Schizosaccharomyces pombe: one gene and its partners. Changing the gene in region 2 together with the main gene of any one other region gives a genetic interaction. Each region holds a gene or a part of one and is shown on either strand. Other genes may lie near its edges.

Region 1 (5,924 bases), on a different chromosome or scaffold from region 2:
GCCTTGAAGTCGACGACGTTCTAACATACGTCTACCCAGTTGAAACTGTTGACCATTACCCCATGTATATACTTTTCCTGTGGTAGTCAAGGCAATAATATGGTCCGTCCCTGTAGCTAATTGACAAATTTCGGGAAGTCGCATCTGCGTCGGTTCAGCTGTACGTTTTTGAGAATCGCTATACCCTAATACACCATCGGAACACTAGTATGTTAGCAAACGAAAAATGATAAATTTATAAAGCCATTTGTTCCAAAAGGGCGAAGGGAAATGATACAATGAGTCAATAGACTATAAACAACACTGCAACGATAACAGCACCTGAATTTGGAATCAAAGATCAAATGATAATTTTTCACGGCCAAAACAAATTACTTACACGGAAAGTACCCCAAGTAAAGCAGCAGCCATTGTCCGTTATTGCTGCAGTGAGATTGTCGCTACATATAACTTTTGTAACGCGTAGATGAGATAAAGCACCTTCGACCTTAGAAGGAGTTCCCTCTAGTAAATCATTGTCAACTTTGTCTCCATTCTCATCCTTTTGATCCTTAGTAAGACGACCAAGGGCATAGTCATCATTAACTCCCCAGGTGTATACGCGACCGTCATGAGAAAGGGCTGCAGAATGCATGCCGCCAACAGCCAAATCGACTACTCCTACTTTATCTGTAGATAAAATAGGATTCAAACGAGGACGATAAACGACATCCATTTCTTCTTCGCCCATACCTAGCTCGTTCATGGAACCGCTTCCAAAGACGTAAACGTTCAATCGTTCCGTAGGTAGTTCAGGTATCTTATTAATTCGCTTTGCGCTTCCTGGGACACGAACGGGTTTGGGTAGAGAGCTGACCTTTGCACGTTTAACCGGCTTTTTGCCATTTTTCATCACATCTGATTCATCTAATTCTCTTTTTTCAACCCCATTTTTTGAGACCTCCTCTCTTTTAGTTGAGCTTCTAGTACTTCTATTAGAAGTCATTATGAGTTTTAGCTGGAAGGGTTAGCTTTGCTACTAACAATCGATTTGTAATTTAAAAAAGAACAAGATGTCATCGCGTATTCCATGCAACCATCACCAGACGCAAATCCAAGAATTACATTTACTTTTTGGTACCACTTACTATAGCTTGGGTTTAAAATATTACAAAAGACAAAAAACAACGATTTATGTCGTTTTTGTTTTCGCAGAGACGTTGTTTTCAAAACTCGAACAAGTCGTTCTGTATACGGATTCTCACTATTCAGTATACTGCGAATCGTTGTTATGTGCAGCTTGTAATTAAGCATTCGTTAATTACAACATAAGCTTCGTTTAGCAAAATAAGTTATTGACTTCAGTAAAAGTTCCCAGCTTGTATTTGTTCAAATGTGTGTAAGGTGAGCTACGAATTTTTATGAAATCCTTTCTTTTTTTTTAACTTCATTTGATTTATATAAATTCGTTTAATCACGTCGAATGTTGAAAATTTGAGACCTCTTCTTATCTGAGAAAGCGGTTTCATGTATAGCTAAACAAAGATCAAATTTAAAAAAAAAGCTCATTAGTCATAAGAAGTTACAGTAAGACTCGGAGTGTCCATCGTTCAGCAAGATCGTATGCGAGAATACGAACTCAAGCAACGCGATTTTAATCTCTTCATAAATTATTTTTATGAGGACCATATACTTTTTTCCCTCATGATTTAATATTTAGTTACAATGAACATAGTCGTTAGCAGTTTCTGTTTTCTTTATTCTTTTCTGGATTTATATGTCTGTGAATTTGCCATGTCATAAATTTGGGTAACGATGTTACTCAACTTGATTCTACAAGTTTGCCTGTGAACTTGAGTATACTGTAAAATTAATTTCTCTTCTTAATCAGCTCAAATTATTAAAAGTTGTAGTTGAAATTTTCAAAATACGGCAAGTTGTCTTGTGGGGGGCGGTTTTATCTATCGGTAATGGCTCAAAGGTTAACCCTATAGAAGGGACTTGTGGTGTTTGGTGACTGGCTCAGTACCTTGCCAACAGCAGAATTGGCATCCCTTGCTCATCTTGATCAAAACTGTGTAAATACAGCCTTTTCAAAGAGTAAGTTATTATAATAAATTTACAACTAACGTAGATAGGGCTTCGGATGCTGTCCCATTGAATTGCGAGAGTGTAAACAATAACCTCGCGACTTCAGCCAGTATTGAACAAAAAACCTCTCTAGGATGTCTGTTGCATCCTTTCTCACGGGCGAAAAGCTTCTAGCAGGATCCAAGTTTGTAATTGGAAAATACAATGTTACTATCGAAAAGTACATAGCCGAAGGTATAATTTTTGGGTTGGATGGATCGAGGAGTATTACAATGAAAGATTTATTTTACTAACATTTTTCATTAGGCGGCTTTTCTCATGTATATCTTGTTCAAACAAATTCCAAAACTGATGGATCACCGATAACTGCTGTTTTGAAACGCATGTATTCTCCAGACGAGAATGCCCTGCGTTTCGTGAAAACTGAAATCGAAACGATGGTATGTTAACGTTATTGATTTTTTTGTCTAACTTATTAGGAACTACTCAAATCCAATCCCCACGTGGTTTCGTATATCGACTCCTGCATATTTCCTCTCGAGAAAGCGGGTGTCAACACTGGATTTGAAATCCTGCTTTTGATGGAATACTGCGCTGGGGGTGGATTGATAGATTTTATGAATCAAAGGTTACAAACTCGGTTGTCAGAGCATGAAGTCTTAAAAATTATTTCAGATATTGTACAGGGTGTTGCTTCCTTACACTATCTGAGACCTCCTCTCATTCATCGCGATCTGAAAGTAGAAAATGTTTTGCTAAGCTTTAATACTTTTAAATTGTGCGATTTTGGAAGTGTGACTGAGCCAATGCATGCTGCTGAAAACTCTAGCGAAATTCAAGCATTAGAAAAAAGTATCAACACATTTACTACCTACCAATATCGTGCCCCTGAGATGATTAATTTGTATTCAGGCTTAGGAATTGATGAGAAAAGTGACATGTGGGCTTTAGGAGTCTTGTTATACAAACTCTGTTACTATACAACTCCTTTTGAAACACAAGGTCCTAACGCTATATTAACAGCTTCATATTCCTTCCCCCCATTTCCTCCTTATTCACATTCTCTTAAAAATGTCATCATCGCTTTACTTCAGCCGAATCCTTGTCTTCGTCCAAATATTTTTCAGTTGATGTGTGAGATATGTCGTCTTAGAGGGACGGCTTTACCTTTTAGGGATATATACAGTGGAAGAGAGTCGTCTTTTTATGATTTGCATAACCGGAAAATAATGTCTTTGCTTCGACAAACAACAACAACACCGTTTGCTGGAAACCAAGTCATGCCGACTCCACAGGTTCAGGGCTCAAGACCTCCCCCTCCTCCTCCTATGCCAGCTCCTATCTATAACGTACCAAATGTGCCGACTGTACCAACCGTTTCCCCTAATCCATTTTTGCAACCTACTTTCTCTGGCACTTCTCAAGCTAGTGCACATCCTTCTATCCACAGCCAATCCGCAACATTTAACAACACTCAAGATGTGAACAGACAGAGTGTTTCGTCTCCGAAGGTTGTTTCATCAAGTTCTGTAACTGGCTCAGGAGCTAGTGGTCGCAAAGTCTACACACCTCAAAGTAAGAATCCCTTCCCAATATCTCAGGGAGTCACGGGAACATCTTCAAAATTTTCTGCTAGCGAGGTTACAGAAGATAATGGTTCACCAAACGCCGGACTCGATGCCGATAACGTTGACGTTGAGGAAGTTGTTAACCAGCGTTATCCTGATCTAAATGAGTTGGAGTCACAGCTTACTAGTCATACTAATATTACGACTAGTTCTCATCATAACCCTAGGGAACAAGAGATAGCAAAATTGGCTGATGATGCATTCGCTAGTTTCCGTCAGACAGCTGGTACTTCAACCGCAAATAGTACTCATACCACTGGTACTCAGGATATATCTGCCTTTGATACAAATTTTTCGGAAGGGGTTGGTAGCGTAAGGTCTTCTTTTGATTTCCCTGATCGTCCAGTATCTAGACGACCTTCAAGCACTTCTAGGTCGTCTGTTAAAATTACTGGACCTTCGAGCCCCAATGCGCGTTCTATGGCTTATGAGCAACACTCCTTTAACCTTGATGATTTGAGTAATACTAATTTTGGTTCTAATAATTCTCTTAGACATGCCAAATCATTTTCCAAATATTATTCACCTTCTCATAAAGATTCGAACAAAACTTCCAGAAACACATCTAAAGAGGGGCTCCCCTCCAGTCCTACTATGCTCTATCGTACAACATCTAATACTAGAGGTGACTATATCGTTCAACGCACACAACAGTCTGCCAATCCTTTGACAAATATCGAACCCCAAGATATGTCAAACCTTAGTACTGATATTAATGCTTCTGACGTTGTTGCCGATTCAACCAACTCTATTCTTTATCCTACTTCGACCGCGTCTTCTGTTGCCAACACTATTGCCTCCGATGTTGACGACTTTGGAACTTTTAATGGTTTACAAAGAACCGTGAGTTTACATAGTGAGCGGGCAAGTCTTGACAAGAAGCGTCCTTCTTTTCATGACAAAAATCCGTACTTTAAATTTTCTCCAAGCAAGTATGTTGACGAAGGATTGGAAGGTGAAAGTGAATTAAGAGAGCGTGTACGAAGTTATGCTAACCGCTCAAGTTCAAGTTTCCATAATCCAGATTTAACAGACACAGAAATTCAAGAGACGTCTTTTAATAACGATTTGAGGCCTGTAGCTTCTATTCAAAGTGCAGAAACCTCCAGAAGCGTAAGTGATAGACCTGCAAATTTTCCAGAGGAATTAAACGACACGTTATTTGAGCAAAAATATCCGGGAATTGTTGATTACGAGGAACCCAATTCGAATGCAGAAAAGAACGTTAATATTTGAGTTATCAACCAGACTTTACCGACTTTAAACTAATTATATTTTTTTGCAATGATTTATTTCCTTATTATATATATAAATCCTTCATGCAAATTCGGTGTTGCCTTTGAAGAGTTTTAGATGGATGATTTTTTGATATGTACCGCTTGATGTCACGGCCTGTGCTTCAAGTCTTTGGAATTTTTACTCATGTTATTCTCTGTATCTATCGTTGTTCACTAGTTCTCCAGGAATTGGAGTTCCCTATACATAACTCGGATACATAGTAGCCAAAATTCTAATATCAGTTTTTCAATATAAATTCCATTTTTTGGATTATTGTAAAAGCTTTAGTTATTGACAAGTTATTATTTATTTTCAGCGCAGAGTTTTATGTTGTCAAAGCTCGTTATTCCAATCGTGGTTAAATAATCAGAACAAGTAAACAAACAAATACCCAACTAGATAACATGGATTTGTGGAAGAAAGGAAAGCGCTTCTTTCGATTTAGTAAAGAACCAGTAATTACATGTATTAATACTAGTTATGCTGGTAAAGAAATTATATTTGATTTAATTGCCAACCCGCAAATGGAAACTAAAGATGTCAATCTTACTTTGGATTTTGATGCACCAATTTTCCACCGAAAAGCAGGAATAGACGGGCTGCTAACACTAACTAATAAGTCAAAAGTAAACGAAATTCAGCTGATCAGTATCGAAGTCTTTATAATTGGAATATGTAAACACAAGTTTCATTCGTCAACAGTCTTCCTGTGTTTAGGAACTCACATCATGGAAGGGCAATACATTGTACCAGAAGAACTCTTAGATTATGCTAAAAAAAGGGGGAAAAACCGGATAATCAGTATTCCCAATCATTCAACAGTTGACATTCCATTTCAAGTCAATTTTCCTAAACACGTCGAAGTAGGACCTGGCCGACAAATCCATTCAAGGGTAAAGGTACAGTATTTTGCATACGCGTAAGTAAAAGTGACAATGATACACGCAA
Region 2 (6,731 bases):
GAGAGTTTTCTGCTTGTAAGGACGACTCACATTCAGCATTTACAATGAGTGACATCGACAAAGAAAGCTTAAAACAAAATCAGAAGCAATGGGAAAATGAAGTTGAGTTGGGCGAAAGCAGAGAAGCTAATCAAGATGATGAGCTTCTGATGAGCCTTGGTTACAAACCAGAATTCACTAGAGAATTCTCTTACGTTAGCATTTTTGGTCAATCGTTTGGATCAATGGGTCTTTGTCCGGCTATGGCGGGTTCACTCATTTTCTCGATGAACTGTGGAGGAGGAGGCATGGTTTGGTCATGGATTATTGGATGTATATGTCTGATTCCAGTAAGTATATCATTGGGCGAACTGGCGTCTTCTATGCCTACTTCTGGAGGTCTTTATTTTTGGATTTTTACCCTAGCATCACCATCGTCAAGAGCATTTCTCTGCTGGGTTTGTGGTTACGTGTCAGTGCTTGGCTACGCTACGATTTATGCTTCAACAGTGTACTCTGCATCATCTATGGTACAGGCACTAGCTGTGATAGGTAGTCCTTCTTATTCACCTACAAAATATGAACAGTACGGAATTTACGCAGCGTTGCTTTTCGTGATTTCTGCCATGACTGCAATTCCCTCTCGTGTTATCGCGAAGGTGAACATCATTAATATTACCTTCCAATTCCTTGTATCCATTATTCTTATTATTGCCCTTGCCGCAGGATCTGACTCTACTACTAGAAATTCTGGAAGTTTTATATTCGGTGATTTTACAAATTATTCTGGATGGTCAAACATGGGATGGGCATTTATACTTTCATTCACTACTCCTGTGTGGGTTGTAAGCGGATTCGAATCTAGCGCCGCTGTTGCTGAAGAATCAACGAATGCTGCCAAAGCAGCTCCCTTTGCTATGATTTCCAGTCTTGGTGTGGCTACCATTCTTGGATGGTGCATCGTTATCACCGTTGTAGCTACTATGGGTCACGATTTTAATGCCATTCTAGGTTCCTCTTTAGGCCAGCCTGTAGCTCAAGTACTGGTTAACAATGTTGGAAATAAGGGAGCTTTAGGAATTTTCTCTTTGCTGGTCATTGCCCTTTGTTTGAACTGCATTTCGTTACTGATTGCTGCATCTAGAGAAGTATTTGCTTTCTGCAGAGACGGCGGGATTCCAGGAAGTAGATACTTACGTCTTTTGACTAAACAGAAAGTTCCCTTAAATGCAATTCTTTTAGTGCTACTCTATAGCCTTTTAGTCGGTCTACTAATTTTGGTTAATGTCACTGCCATTTCTTCTGTGTTTAATTTAGCAATTATTGCTCTTTATATCGCTTATTCCGGCCCTCTTATGTGTCGATTTGTGTACAATAAATTTCAACCTGGTGTTTTCTACGTTGGAAAATGGAGCAAACCAGCAGCCTTATGGTCATTAGTTTGGATGTGGTTTATGATTCTTATGCTTTTGTTTCCTCAATATCAAAAGCCCAACCAAGATGAGATGAATTGGGCTATAGTGGTCCTTGGATTTGTAATGGTCTTTTGCGTGGTGTATTATTATTTGCCAAAGATTGGTGGTAAAACTTTTTTTACAGGTCCAATACCTACTGTTCAACAGGAGAACGAGTACATATCTGGTGTTCCACTAAATGAACTATCTTTAAGCAGTTTACCTTTGCCAAAAGATTTTGACCAGAAGCAAATCACAGAGTAATTTAACCTGAGTGTTATACTTTTCTTAACTCTTCTTTTTGGCAACAGCTACGCTGTTTCATTGTATTTTTACTGTGCTTTTATAATTGTATGTTTATTAACAGTTCTTTTTTATTCTTTTGTTCCTAGTCTTAGTTAAATAGCTTAATATTGTTTTAATGTCTTTTAATGAATTAGTGGCTCTGTTATCATTATCAGTAATATAAGATTATATAAAATTTTTTTTATCTTTCGAGTACGTATACTTATCGTCTTGTCCAGATTTTCTTATCATCACTTCCCTTATAACCTATACTTAAGCACGACTTGAGTAGTGCTAAAATAAATCTGCAGATGTATATGCTTTTTAACAGTAAACTGCACCAAAGGCGGTAATGCTTGCTTACAATTGATACGCATTCAGCTAGAATTTAAGATAGTTGTTTAATTACTCTTTTCTTAACATAAGATGTCTCAAAATAAAGCATGTGATCTTTGCAGGTTGAAGAAGATTAAATGTAGTCGAGGGCAACCAAGATGTCAGACTTGTACTCTTTTTCAAGCGGACTGTCATTATTCTAATCGTGCTCGCCGTAAGAGACTTGTTCAAAGAAGCAAGGAGACGTTTGGGGGAATTACGTTACCCGTGTTTGATTATGCCGCTGGTATTAACGGCAATGAGCCAGAACCGAGTGATCACTCAATTCCAAATCAAGAAAATTTTGCATTAACTACTAATGGAACTATTAGTAAAAACATTGAAAAACCCGAGGATGGTGAAGAATCCGTTCAGAGACGCCTTAAATTGCTTGAAGAAAAAATCGATTTGTTGTTAGATATAGCTACTGAAACTTCAGAATTTAAACGTGAAAATAAGGCTATTGAATTACCTTCCTTGGTTACACAAATTAAAGATGCAGAATCGATTGTTATTAAACACAGACAAGGTAGCCCTGTCGACAATACACCTACTCGGATACTGAATGTGGAAAGCTTGTTCCCTCCACAGTTGCCGGACTGGGAGAAGGCATTCCATGACATTCCCAAGAAGGAAGTAGCCCATGAGTTAGTCACGTCTTACTTTCAGCATGTAAATTGGTGGTGGCCTACCTTCGTATATAATGATTTTATGTATGAGTTCGAACGTCTTTATGCGTTCGGGTTCCATAGCAATAATGCTTGGCTAATTTCTTTTTATTCTATTTTAGCATTAAGCAGCATTAGGAAAAGACTTGGTAACTCAAAGACGCTTGCAGAGTCTTTGTTTTCAACAGCTTGGGTTTTTGTTCAAAAGTCCGACTTTTTTCTTACTCCGAGCATTGACAAAGTTCAGGCTTTAATTGTCATGACACAGTACGCAGCTTACCTGTCTAGCTCTTCTTTATGTCGGACTTTGTGCGGCCAAGCCTGCCTCATGGCCCAACAATTAAACTTACATAGAAAGCAATCCACTGATGTGGAGCCTGAAAAGGCTGAATCGTGGAAAAGGATATTTTGGATGTGTTATATTCTCGATAAAAATATTTCTTTGATTTTTGGAACCCCTTCCGTTTTTAACGACAAGGATATTGATTGTAATTTGCCTGATAGCAAATATGAGCTTTTGTTTGGTGTACAATCTGGTGGTGATTTGATATTTGTTCCTACCGTATCGTTGACAATAATTCAGAGTGAAATACGAAATCGACTATACAGCGTGAAGTCACCTACGCAAATGGCAGCGAGAGAAAAAATCATCATACCAATACATCAAAAATTGAAAGCGTGGGAAGAAAACCTTCCTTCTGAAATAAAAATGTATCATGAAATGTTGCTAAACAACACTTTTTCTCCCACTATATCGCTTAGCGATCGGTTCGAATTTTTAACTTTCGCAGGTATGGAAGTTTACTTTTCTTACTTAAACACTTTAATTATATTACACAGACCTAGCTCGTCGACAGAGAATCGAAGGATTTGTATTAATGCAGCCCGTGAAGCAGTTCAATTGTTAAAAAATAGACTCAACATTGATCTCAGGGTCAATGTTAAAGCAGATCCGCTATGGATATTCCTATACTGTCCTTTTACACCTTTTTTAATAATATTTAATAACCTTGTTCACGAAACTGATACGGAAACGGACTCAGAAACATTACTTAACGATTTGGATCTTTTACATGTAATTTACGATTTTTTTATGGAAATGGAGCCAGTTAGTGACGTGGCTTTGGAACTTGTCAAAATTGCAGACAAACTTTTGCGGGTTGCTAAAGAAGTTTGCAGTGCCAAAAATAATGATGTTACGGATTCTACTTTTAAAGATATCGTTGAAGGTTTTGAACTTAACGACTTAAACAGTTGGGATTTTGACAGAGTAACCAATGTTATGAGGAATCTTTAAAAAAATATGAAAGTAACGTTGTTTTATTAATAATTTATTTGCTTTAATGTACATGGTGAACATCATTACCGGTTAACAATGAAGCTATTATCAAACTATTTTGCTTGATCAACTACATGCATCGACCCAAATGTCTAATTGAGTAGTGCAGTCAATTCAGAGGAGTCACCAAATCTTGAGATTGCCTTTCTTGATTGGGAAATCCAGTCAGTTGCCATTACAATTTTCAGTTCTAAAATTCCGACTATGGATAACGCTATTACCTGTCCAATCCAAAGACCGACAAGACCTTTGCCATGGAAGGCTAAATAAATTCCTAGAGGCAGAGCAAACAAATAGTAGGCAGTAATGTTAACTATAGCGCCAACCTTCTGTCTTCCCGTGCCTCTTAAAGCTCCTCCCATTGTACCATTCAAGGAATCTGATATTTGGAAAGCAGCTACTAAGGGCATTACAAGAGCAACCAGCTGAATGACATCTGGATCATTTGTGAAAATCCGTCCATAGATATTGCGTACGGCAATCATGGTAATCATGATAACGCTTCCTACTGCAACACCTACAATTGCTGCGACCTTAGCAGTTAGAGAAGCATTGTCAGGTAACCCAGCTCCGAGATAGTAGGCAACTCGATTAGAAGTAATTATTCCGAGACCGAAAGGAATTGTGTTAAGTAATTGATCTGTGGTCATAATTACTGATTGAGCGGCAAGTGGTACAGCACCAAGTTTACCAGCAACTAGTGCTACTATTTCAAAAGCCCACCATTCTGTTCCCACCATAACGATACCCAATAGTGATAACTTTACAAAAGGTCCAAAGTTCTCTAAGCATCGTTTATTCCAACCATTCCACGCCTCTGCCCCTTTTACGTATTTCGCATATTGAGTTAATAAAATGAATGAAAGCCAGTACGATAATCCAGTTGCCAATGGAGCGCCTTTTAAACCTAATCCATAATAATGGACAAGTAGAAAATTTAAGGCGACATTAAGAGGAGAGGTAACTAGAAGAATATAAGAACCAGCCCTAGTGATTTCTTGTGTTTGCAAAAACTTTTTTAGCAATTCAAAACATACATAACCTAGTCCGCCTGGGATAAGGTATCGTAAAAACTTTTGTGAAGCTTCAGCTAATTCAGGTGTTTGATGCAAGAAAATTAGGATGGGTTTAGAATACCACCAAACTAAACATATTGGCAGATATAGAATACTGAGCACGATGAAACCCGTTTGCAATAGAATTCCCAATTCTTGTTTTTTTCCGGCTCCCCAAAGGTTGGAGCCAAGTGTGTCAAAAGCAGTAGTTCCACCTAGAGCAATCAGCCAGCCTGTGCTCATCGCAAACATGTACGCAAAAGCAGCTACGGAAAGCTCGCTTGGTCCAAGGCGCCCGGTTACAATAACTGAACTAGTTTGCAAAGAGTTTTGCAAGGCATATCCAAGGATTACCGGAGCTGAATTTATCAAAAGGTATTTCACCTCTGTAAGTGGTCTACCCATAATAGTGCTTTCTCAGAGAAAATTTGGATATACGGTGTATTTTTTAATATAAATAAAGAGTACTTCTTAATGTCTGTTCACCGAAGGTTCAAATTTTCCTTTAATAAAAGTTTACTAAGCTTTTATCATATTGATTGAACGGATGGAACCATAAATTTATATCAGAGAACGCTTAGAAGCCGCACATTTAGGGCATAAAACTTCAGATGTCATGGCTAAACATTAGTATATCCGTGGAGATACGGAAATTTAGAAATACCCACGCAAAATATTTTTCGCTTAGCCAACAGACATTGGGAATTCTCGCCGAGTTTTTGCTAACTTAAATGATAGCAGTTAGCATATTTTGCCGGTGAAAATATTATTACCGTCTCACTCCGCTGGTTAAAAATAGTAGGTAACAAATCGGTTGCAGACTAAGAAGCTATTGACTCGCACGTTATTCTTAATTTGTTGAAATTAGTACAAAAATTTGAGCATGAAAGCGAATAAAGAGTACAAAAAATATTTTGTAATTTTACCTTGCATACTCATTGACTGTTAATAATTATAACACTTACCGATGGTGGTAAAATATATAGCAGAAAATAGCTTGGTGAATTTATTAGTCAATAATGATTTGAACAAACATTACAGAAAAAACGATTTGTAATTTCCCAAATAACTGTGTATAAGTATGAATCCAGTTGTTTGGCGTACGCATATATCATTCTCGGTTAATTTTGCTTTTCAAAAGTTTATATTTAGATTGCTGTGACTTTTAGAATGCAACACGAAATAACTTTAAATCTTTACGTTTTTATTAAAACTTTCTAAATTAGTTTATAAACATCCATTCGTTCTTTAAATAGAATAAGCACCAAAATTCATCTTTGCTTGCAATCACTCTCTTACTATATAGATATATGCATGATATGACAATTATAATCAACATTAAATAAACACAACAACAACAAATAATCACACTTGTTCTTACAATTTGTAAGCGTTTTTGCTCCACGCACGAATGCTCTTGCCAAAACGATAAAATATAAAAGGAATGGGAACCATCGCTACAGAAATAAAACCAAGCACACTAGTAGCCCAGTGATCTCCTAAATTAAGGTACATAGGCCTGGCCACCATACTTATGCCTCCACTGGCAGAATAGCGAACTAGAGTAGCTGCAGCT
Region 3 (4,301 bases), on a different chromosome or scaffold from region 2:
CAACTAGGCCTTCTAACATGTTTGTTGGCTCTTTGACACTGAAATTAGGTAAAAGGCAGTTGGCATCCGACTTGGTGAAAGTTAGCAATGCAATTGCGAATAGAGGAATGTTTTGTTGAAAAAGAAAATCTTTTTATTCCATTTATACATTTAACAAAATTATTCAATATAAAAAGAAAACGATTATGAGAAGAGGAAACTTCATTTCCGTATAACGCACCTTTTTATCATCAAACGGATTGAGTCTAAGTGAAAGGAGTATTACTTTACTTATTTGAACAAACTAAATCTTTTTTTTTTATTAAATCAGTTAAATTAAAATCCTTCAAATGTACATAGGACTTGTTTACGGCGCTAAGTGCCACACCATTGAATGCGTCAACAAGTCAGCTTTATCGAACGATAAGTAGGATACTTTGCTTAACTAGTTTTGATTGCGAAGCACATGATTATTATCAAATTTAAACATACTTAATTGTTCATAAGCAAATTTATTATAAGGCAAAATGAGTAAGACGGATAGCTGTTACAAACTTAAAGAATCGCTGTAAAATTAATTCATTAGTTAAGTCAGAAACAAATACTGAATTAAAAATATTAACCGAATATGTAAATTCTAAAGAAAATGAAACAAACGAAGAGCGAATGTGTTATATTATCGCTTAGAAAAAAAAAAAAAAAAAAAGAAAATACATTAGAATAGATAACGAAAGGCAAGAGTTTTAACTAGGCTCTGAAAAAAAAAAAACACTCTTGACACCGTACCAAAAAGGAAATTGTGTGTCAAAATTGAAGTAAAACGTGAAGGAAATTAGGAATTATCGCGGGGAATGAGGATGCTTGAAATTAGTCTTGATTTTCACTGAGGCATCCCATTTCTAAAAGGTCGTTGCGGATGTCATCAAAAGAAGCTGTTTCGATAATAGGTGCTGTCGGAAACCCAGCAAAACTATTAAGCTCACACAAAACTGCAGCTTCATATTCAATTCGTTGCTTCTGTAACAAGGCACTTTGGCGATATGACATGGTTTTTTGAGTAATATATGTGGGATCGTGAACAGATTTTTGTTTGTTTAAAAGCTGAAAGCACTTCGTTGCAATTTTGGTTAGAAGCGCTTGTCGTATTCTTCTTTTATCAAACAGTAACTGATACTTCCTCTGTTTCGTTACATAGTCCATTACGTTTTTTATATTCCCAAGTTGTTTCATGAGGTTTTCAGTAGCTAAACGCACACGATCATCTCGCCGCTCTGTTATAAGATCAATGCAGGCATTAAAACGCTCATGGGTTTCGTTTTGTATCATTTCCTCATGCTCGTTCAGCTTTAACAGTTTCTTCCCATATAAACGGTTTCGTAAAAAAGTAAACTCCGTTTCTATATTTAGCAAAGCATCAAACGCTTCTTTCCGTTTTATAGCCTTTTCATCGTCAGCTTCATGAGCCTGTTCAGATGCGGAACGACGATCTGCAATCTCACGATCGGATTCCTCTTGGCTGGTCTCAAGAGCTACCCTTTTTATTTTGCTCTCACTGTTAGTAGACCATTTTCGAGAAACTGTTGCACGTTTACGCTTTCGACTTCCAACGCCACTTCGAGGACCACCTTTTCTGGGTGCTTCTAAAGTTCCACCTCTTTGTGGTATCTGGTGGTCAGAATCTTCGGTTCTTTCAATATTCGACTCTTCGTCTTCTTCCTCCTCATGCTCAGAAGACTCCTCAAGTTTCGAGTTGTGGTTAGTCTCTATGAGTCCATTGTTGTCATTGGTAGCTTTTTCTTCAGACTCAAAGTCAGATTCCTTCAATGAAGGACTAACAATGGTTATATTTGCTGTGTTTTCCATCTGAGGTTCCACAGAGTTGTTTACCAGTATGGTTCTGCCAATTGCACTTGAGTCACCTAAGTCCTCAGTGACTGATACCGAACCAACTAAAGATGTTTCTTTCTCTTCATCTTCATTTAAGACTACAGTTTCTGCCTCAGATACATTATCATGATCTGTTACCTCTAATTTAGGAAGTGACGCTAACTGATGAGTTGTGAGGGACGTGGAACTGTTCAGTTTGTTCACTGGCGAGTTTTTTTCAATGATTTCAGAATTTTGAGAAGGCAATTGAGGTGCGATAATATCCTCATTAGCATTGGTCTCTGGATTAGATAGAGCCGAATCAACAACCTGCTCACTTTCAGCGATCGAATTATTTATTCGTTTCTCTGAATCTTTATTTTTAGGAGAGCTTTTTAAGTTGTTCATTGGTAAATCAAAAGGCTCCTTAGGGAGTATTTCATGGGGAATTGATTCCGACTGCAAATTTTCGGTCATCCTGAATTAATTCTTCAACTTCGTTCAAAATACCCTCTCGTAATTTACAAATGTCAGAATCTAAAAAACAGTATCGTTGATTTTCGTGTGTTTTCATTCAATATGTATGTTTTCGAATGAATTGGTAGTGTTGGGGAGAGGATGACATTTGATAGCTGGGCATCAGTAATAATATTCATACTCAACTTTTACACATCCTGTAGGGACATCTCAAAATTTTGAGCCAAGAACTTAATAATTTGTTCTAAATTAGCACTTCCAATTTATACTTTTATCAAGAATGGGTTAGGTGAAATATTCTCAGTCAACTGTTACTCATCAATGAAACTTGGCGAATGAACCATCGTCGATCAAAGGCTTTTTATTAAATCAATCAAAGAGTCTCTATAGATAAACTCTATGCTAGTCTCTGAGTTAACGGCAATTGAAGTAATGATGGTAAAGCTTTTTAATTCAGTACAAACAATTCCATTTTAATTTCAATTTATACTTTATTTTATCAACTGCTAGCGATTTTACAATTATCTCTCTTTGGCAGCAGAATACTACCATGAACTGATTATTTAACTTATTTGAATATTACCGATTATAGGTGTATAAGGAAAAAAAATGTGATTCCTATAATCAGTCATTTTTTATATTTTAATAATCTTCCCTTCAATTAGAACTTTGAAATTTTGATAAATTACATTTTATTGGTAATAATGAATAAAAAAATGTTTCTTCACGTACTAGATGATCATATCCAGTTTATCATACTGTAAGTTCAATTCTATAGAATCCAAATAGGAACTGAGCATTAATTAGTCAATATTTTATTTATAAAATGAAAGAATTGATTATTATTACAGTCTTCATTTTGGCTAACAATTATTATTTTTCTTTCTCCCAGTCACAAGTAGACAGCGTCATTCGACGTTGACACCAATAGACACTAGTGACACGTAAATTTGAGCAATATTTTTGAACTGGTGCATTCTTTATTTTCAAGATATTAAAGGTTGACAGGGTTTCCTAAATTCTTTGAAACACCTCTTTTAGTAGCTGCTATACACATTTATTGAACAATTCCTATTTTCTTTATCAGGTTTGCCAGTGTTTTCAATCGAAAATACCCATTGTAATTAGTTTATTTATTTTTTTGATTCTTGATAAGGAAATGCTCTTCTGAAAGTCAATAATTGGTGAACATGATTAGTTTTTCTCACTGGAATTCTCACATACGTTCGGGACTTAGTCTAAGCATGATTCCTTCTGCAAACTCTCGTTTTGCTTTCATTATTCAAAGAAATTATATTCCTGTCGTTAACTCGCAGAACACAAGATGGAAAAGGTTATGCGGGACACAGTCAGTTTGGTCACCATACAAAAAAAAGCACGTACTGGTTAATCGATTGAAGCATATATCTTTATTCCCCAAACCTATATTTGCAAGAAAGTTTACAACCCGACAAAAAAGTGAAGACCAGAAGCAATGGAGGATACTAAGGATTACATTTCTTGTCCTCCCTTTTACGGTCGGAGGATTATGGATTTTATACAGAGTCAAAAATCGAAAGAATAATATTTTCTCCTTTGACGAACTTGAATTAGAAGAGAGAAGCAATCGACCTCGTTCTATTTTTGGAAAAATAAAACAATTTTTTAATATTCTCCTCAGGTCATTTAATTTATTTATTATTTTCTCTCCAATTATTATTACCTTACCGTTTATCGCTCTTATTTCTTTCCTGCATCTTCGATCTTTGTCGTCTTTAACCGTATCCATTTGGCTTCGTTTCCTCGTTACTCAATTAGAAAGAGCAGGAGCAACGTTTATCAAGGTACGTTTTGAATTTACGCTTATCATGTTACTAACATTATTTTTTTATTTTGCAGTTGGGACAATGGGCTGCTTCACGGACAGATTTGTTTCCTCCTGCTTTCTGTAAAACACTGTCCAAATTACATTCACATGTAACGCCCCACAGCCTTGCCTA
Region 4 (4,060 bases), 2.0 Mb from region 2:
GATTAAAGGAAGGAATGAAGGAGTTAAAACCCGAGTATGGATTGAATCCCATATTGTAGTAGTTAGGATTAACAATCCGATTTGCCAAGGGATGCTGAGTAACGCCTTGATTCGTATCAGCATTTGAGTTGCTTACAGACATAATTCCTCCAGCAGGATAAGAAGGTAGACTTGGTCCTTTTTCATTTTGATTTGTTTCCATAGTTAAATCTCAATAAGCTAGATGCGTCCTTGGCAAATATTCTAATAAATCAAAAAGTTGTAGGATGAGTCCTTCGTAAATACGCTGCACGAGCTATTAAATAGGAACTAGGTCGCTTTATGTCAAAGTTGTCGGTGTGGTAGAATACATAGTCCGAAATAGTATTAATGGTAGTCCAATCTGAATACTAACGCCTTAGAATACAGGAAACTGGTATCAATACTACAATTGAAAATTTCCTAATATTTAATAGCATAATCAAAATAGATACTTATTTTTTTCACAATTACTGATTAATTTATTTGGTATGGATATATTACGGATATTATATTATTATACACGATTAGTCATTCCAAATTAAGAGATTTGTAGAGTATTCATCACATACTAAATATTTTCTTTTTTTTTTTAAATAAATAACTTTTTATGCATGGTCGATTCATGACTCAATGGTCTGGCTATGGATGAATTCCACCACAACTTTGGACTTAAGGAGCTTTGAAATAACGTCTCTAAGATATAAAAGGACTTTCTTAAGTAAGAAACTTTCACGCTTTAAAAGCTCTACCGATTCTGAACGTCGTTCGGTTGGATTGTACATATTCTCAATGTTTGTATTTAGGGCAGCATCCGCTAATTGTTCAGCGAGACAAAAAACACGTAAAATATACAAATCTCTTTTAGGAGATAATTGTACAAGCTTTGGCAAATCTTCAACTGAGCATTTTTGACCTTCAAATTCCCAGTCAACTGTTTGAGCTTTTGATTCATCACACACCATTTTGAAGTTTGTAAAGTCTTCAACATTAAGTACAGAAAAAAAAAGAAATGGAGCATGCCACCATAATTCCCCAGATGAATCAGAAACAAATTCAATCATGGGGGGAGTTTTACAAGATCTCCTTTTAGCAAGATCAAGCGAGTCATTAGAATCCTCGGGAATCAAGAGTTTCATAACATTTGTAATCCGATCGCCCTCAGGTTCAGGTAAAAAACCATAAGAAAATAAAAACTCAGCAGAACCTTTTTCACTTCCATAGTTTATCGTAACTTCTTCATTTTCATCAATGTCCTTGTCAAGATAGAGCTGCATAGCATCTTCCGAAAATGACCATTTTGCATTAGACTTAGAGGAGTGATTACATAAATCAATCACAGGAGCTAAAACTGGATCTTTAAAGGGACTTTCAAGGCACCTACTGTGAAACAAAGCATCAGCATGAACCCATTTTGGGAGTGTTATTTTACTAGGCCAGGAATCAGAATACCGCTGGTTTAATGAAAGCCACTCTTGTTGTAAAATTTTTCTCTTGACACAAACTGGATTAAAAATCGAAGTGCCTTGGAGGCTGTAGACTTCTTTTTCGGGCCATTGTGCAGGCGTATTGATAGATAAAGGAAGAACCGTTAAAAACTTATCCCACTTGTTGGTTCGGGGTTGAATACCGAGCCATAAATAGCAAAGAAATAACATAGCCTGAGTTCTGAAACTCATATCGTTCCATTCCTCAAGCGTTGCGATTGAAGCGAATTTATCACAAGAATTTCGAAATTGTTCAACTGTTTTGCGGCATATTATATTTTCAAGTGGAACCTCTAAAAGAACAGTTCCAGAAGTATACCTATTCAAAGAAAAAATTCCATTGCCTTTCTTTCGTATTTTTTTTATAGTAATTTGTTTTGCTCCCGGCGCAAATTGGTTGACCAACTCATTGTATTTGATATCCATTGACTTGATTTTCTCAGTCTTAAGCCAAAACAACGACGGAAAACTTAACAATAAAATGTATTTAATCGAGTTGAAATTTATTGGTTGTTTATTAATAACTCCACGACTTTTCTAAGTCAATAGCAACGAAAATACCCTGTCCCTAGAGAAACAACCGAAGCGACATTAACTTTCGGTAACTCGAACCCAACCCTATATGAACAAAAATACGACGCTTGCATCACAAACGGCAGCCGATTTTTGTACTATAAGTAATTTATGATTTTATTATATCTAGTGGTCATTAGCCTAATACGATTGTCGGTTTAGTTGAAAAATAATATAAAATATTGGAACCTCAAAATAAATAAGTAGTATGTGACAGCTTAAATTATGTATTATTAATATACTAGTAACCTGAGCAGAACAGAGGAAAAATATATTGGCAAAATTATGTGAATCTACATGAAATCTGTTAACTATTGAAATCAATTTATTTCTCCAATTTTTCGTTTTATGGTTAAAATTAATATAAGGACGCAGACTAATATTTTAACAGAGTAGTAGTAAAAAATCCCTATAGAGCTTTTTTGGTTGGTTTATATAGAAACAAGCTTTCTAAAAAGTTATCAAATCATTGTATCTTCTTGCTGATTAAGTACAATACCCTACGGTAGTACCTGGTACCTAATAGGTCTACACTGTCAAATTCATCAGATCCGATGGGCCCACTATAGCAGAGTTTCACGAACTAATTGGATTAATATCTCTATTTACTAATTCATCAAATGCAGGTGGTCCGTTCAGTAAATCTTTTTTGACAGAATATTGAGGATATATTATTTACTTTTAACATCTGTACTAAATAGCGAACTAAAGTAATTATATTATAATAAGCTATAGCGATACTGAGACTGTACTATTTGTCAATAGTCGGCGTTTAAGGAACTGTAAGGCAAATTATAAATTTGCGAGCGGTTAAAATTTAGTATATGAAAGGGATTCTCACAATATCAATAGTTGTCCTCCACCAAGCTACATTGCAAGGCCTAATCGGGTTAATTGTGGGATTTGGAACGGCATTGCAGAGAAATGACATCCTCTGTGTTAATTCAGGGTTACGAAGAGGACGATGTCCTCAAATTATTGCAGGAATTGTTGGATGCTGAAACTTCTCAAAGCTGTGCTGATGTAGGTAAAAAAATTGCCCAGCTTTTTTCAAATGACAACCCTTTAGTCACTTTGAAGACTACGGGGTTTTTGGATGGCTTGGAACGTGCAGCTCGCAATAAGAAGTCGGGATTCCATCGTGAAGCTGCCATGATTGGTTTTGCTACTGTTATTAAAAATTTGGGTACGCCTTCCGAAGTTGTATTCCTTCCTTATCTTCCTACTATTTTGGATTCGTTCTCGGATCGTGGTGAAGTAGTTAGACAAGCCGCCAAAATGGCCGCCCAAGCCCTCTTGGATTGTCTTCCTGCAGGAGCCGTAGAAACGCGCTTAATTCCAAGCTTGATTTCTTACTTAGACGATTCATCTATCAAATGGCCTAGTAAAGTGGCTGCTTTGCAATTACTGGGCTCTCTTGCATCATCATCCCCCAAGGCTGTTGCTGATTACATGGCCGCTCTCATTCCTTGTATTAAAGAACGAATGCATGATACGAAACCGGAAATTTCTCGTGCCGCTATTACATGCATGTTGAACTTATGTTCCGTCGTTGAAAACAACGACATTATTCCTCATATACCAAAGCTCGTCGATTGTATGGCTCATCCGGAAACACTGGAAGCTTGTATTAAAGATTTAAGCGCTACAACATTTGTAGCTACAGTTGAATCAGTTGCTTTAGCTGTGCTCGTTCCTATCTTAAAGCGAGCATTAGCTCAGAGATCACAGTCTATGCTGCGGTTGACTGTCATTATTACTGACAACTTATGTAAACTGGTTCCTGATCCTGCCGAGGCATCTGATTTTCTTCCTGAGTTAATTCCGGACGTTGAGCGTATTGCTCAAACTGCTGCTATGCCTGAAGTTCGTGCCCTTGCTTCTCATGCACTTACTACTCTAAACAAGGCTGCAGCTGCTCAGGCTGCAAAGGCTGCAAACAATTCTGAGAAACAGGCGTTAGATAGCGCTTGTAAAGAATT

Evidence for each region.
Region 1: mutations in toe4 (region 2) and ppk29 together harm fitness less than expected from each alone (positive genetic interaction), as found in Schizosaccharomyces pombe (one large-scale study listed by BioGRID).
Region 3: mutations in toe4 (region 2) and dep1 together harm fitness more than expected from each alone (negative genetic interaction), as found in Schizosaccharomyces pombe (one large-scale study listed by BioGRID).
Region 4: mutations in toe4 (region 2) and set8 together harm fitness less than expected from each alone (positive genetic interaction), as found in Schizosaccharomyces pombe (one large-scale study listed by BioGRID).

What each region holds. Positions count from the first base shown.
Region 1 is NC_003423.3:2,489,844-2,495,767, forward strand, and holds ppk29 (Ark1/Prk1 family protein kinase Ppk29), read left to right. Parts: upstream 1-2,002; 5' UTR 2,003-2,079; exon of another isoform or gene 2,080-2,117; 5' UTR 2,118-2,204; coding exon 2,205-2,304; intron 2,305-2,376; coding exon 2,377-2,510; intron 2,511-2,549; coding exon 2,550-4,934; 3' UTR 4,935-5,375; downstream 5,376-5,924. Other genes in the region: pim1 (RCC1 family Ran GEF), read right to left, coding at 1-204, 380-985; SPOM_SPBC557.05 (arrestin, meiosis specific), read left to right, coding at 5,381-5,895.
Region 2 is NC_003424.3:115,522-122,252, reverse strand, and holds toe4 (transcription factor), read left to right. Parts: upstream 1-2,019; 5' UTR 2,020-2,144; coding exon 2,145-4,058; 3' UTR 4,059-4,192; coding exon of another isoform or gene 4,193-5,560; 3' UTR 5,561-6,199; downstream 6,200-6,731. Other genes in the region: SPOM_SPAC11D3.08C (amino-acid permease), read left to right, coding at 45-1,697; SPOM_SPAC11D3.06 (MatE family transporter), read right to left, coding at 4,193-5,560; mfs2 (MFS family membrane transporter), read right to left, coding at 6,533-6,731.
Region 3 is NC_003423.3:3,798,685-3,802,985, forward strand, and holds dep1 (Rpd3L histone deacetylase complex subunit, Sds3-like family protein Dep1), read right to left. Parts: upstream 2,466-4,301; 5' UTR 2,323-2,465; coding exon 847-2,322; 3' UTR 501-846; downstream 1-500. Other genes in the region: vps1301 (lipid transfer protein), read right to left, coding at 1-19; cqd1 (ABC1 kinase family protein ), read left to right, coding at 3,513-4,145, 4,201-4,301. UniProt on the Schizosaccharomyces pombe protein: Component of the RPD3C(L) histone deacetylase complex (HDAC) responsible for the deacetylation of lysine residues on the N-terminal part of the core histones (H2A, H2B, H3 and H4).
Region 4 is NC_003424.3:2,081,390-2,085,449, reverse strand, and holds set8 (lysine methyltransferase Set8), read right to left. Parts: upstream 2,022-4,060; 5' UTR 1,932-2,021; coding exon 642-1,931; 3' UTR 509-641; downstream 1-508. Other genes in the region: pex13 (peroxin 13), read right to left, coding at 1-202; AAA family ATPase Elf1, read left to right, coding at 3,003-4,060.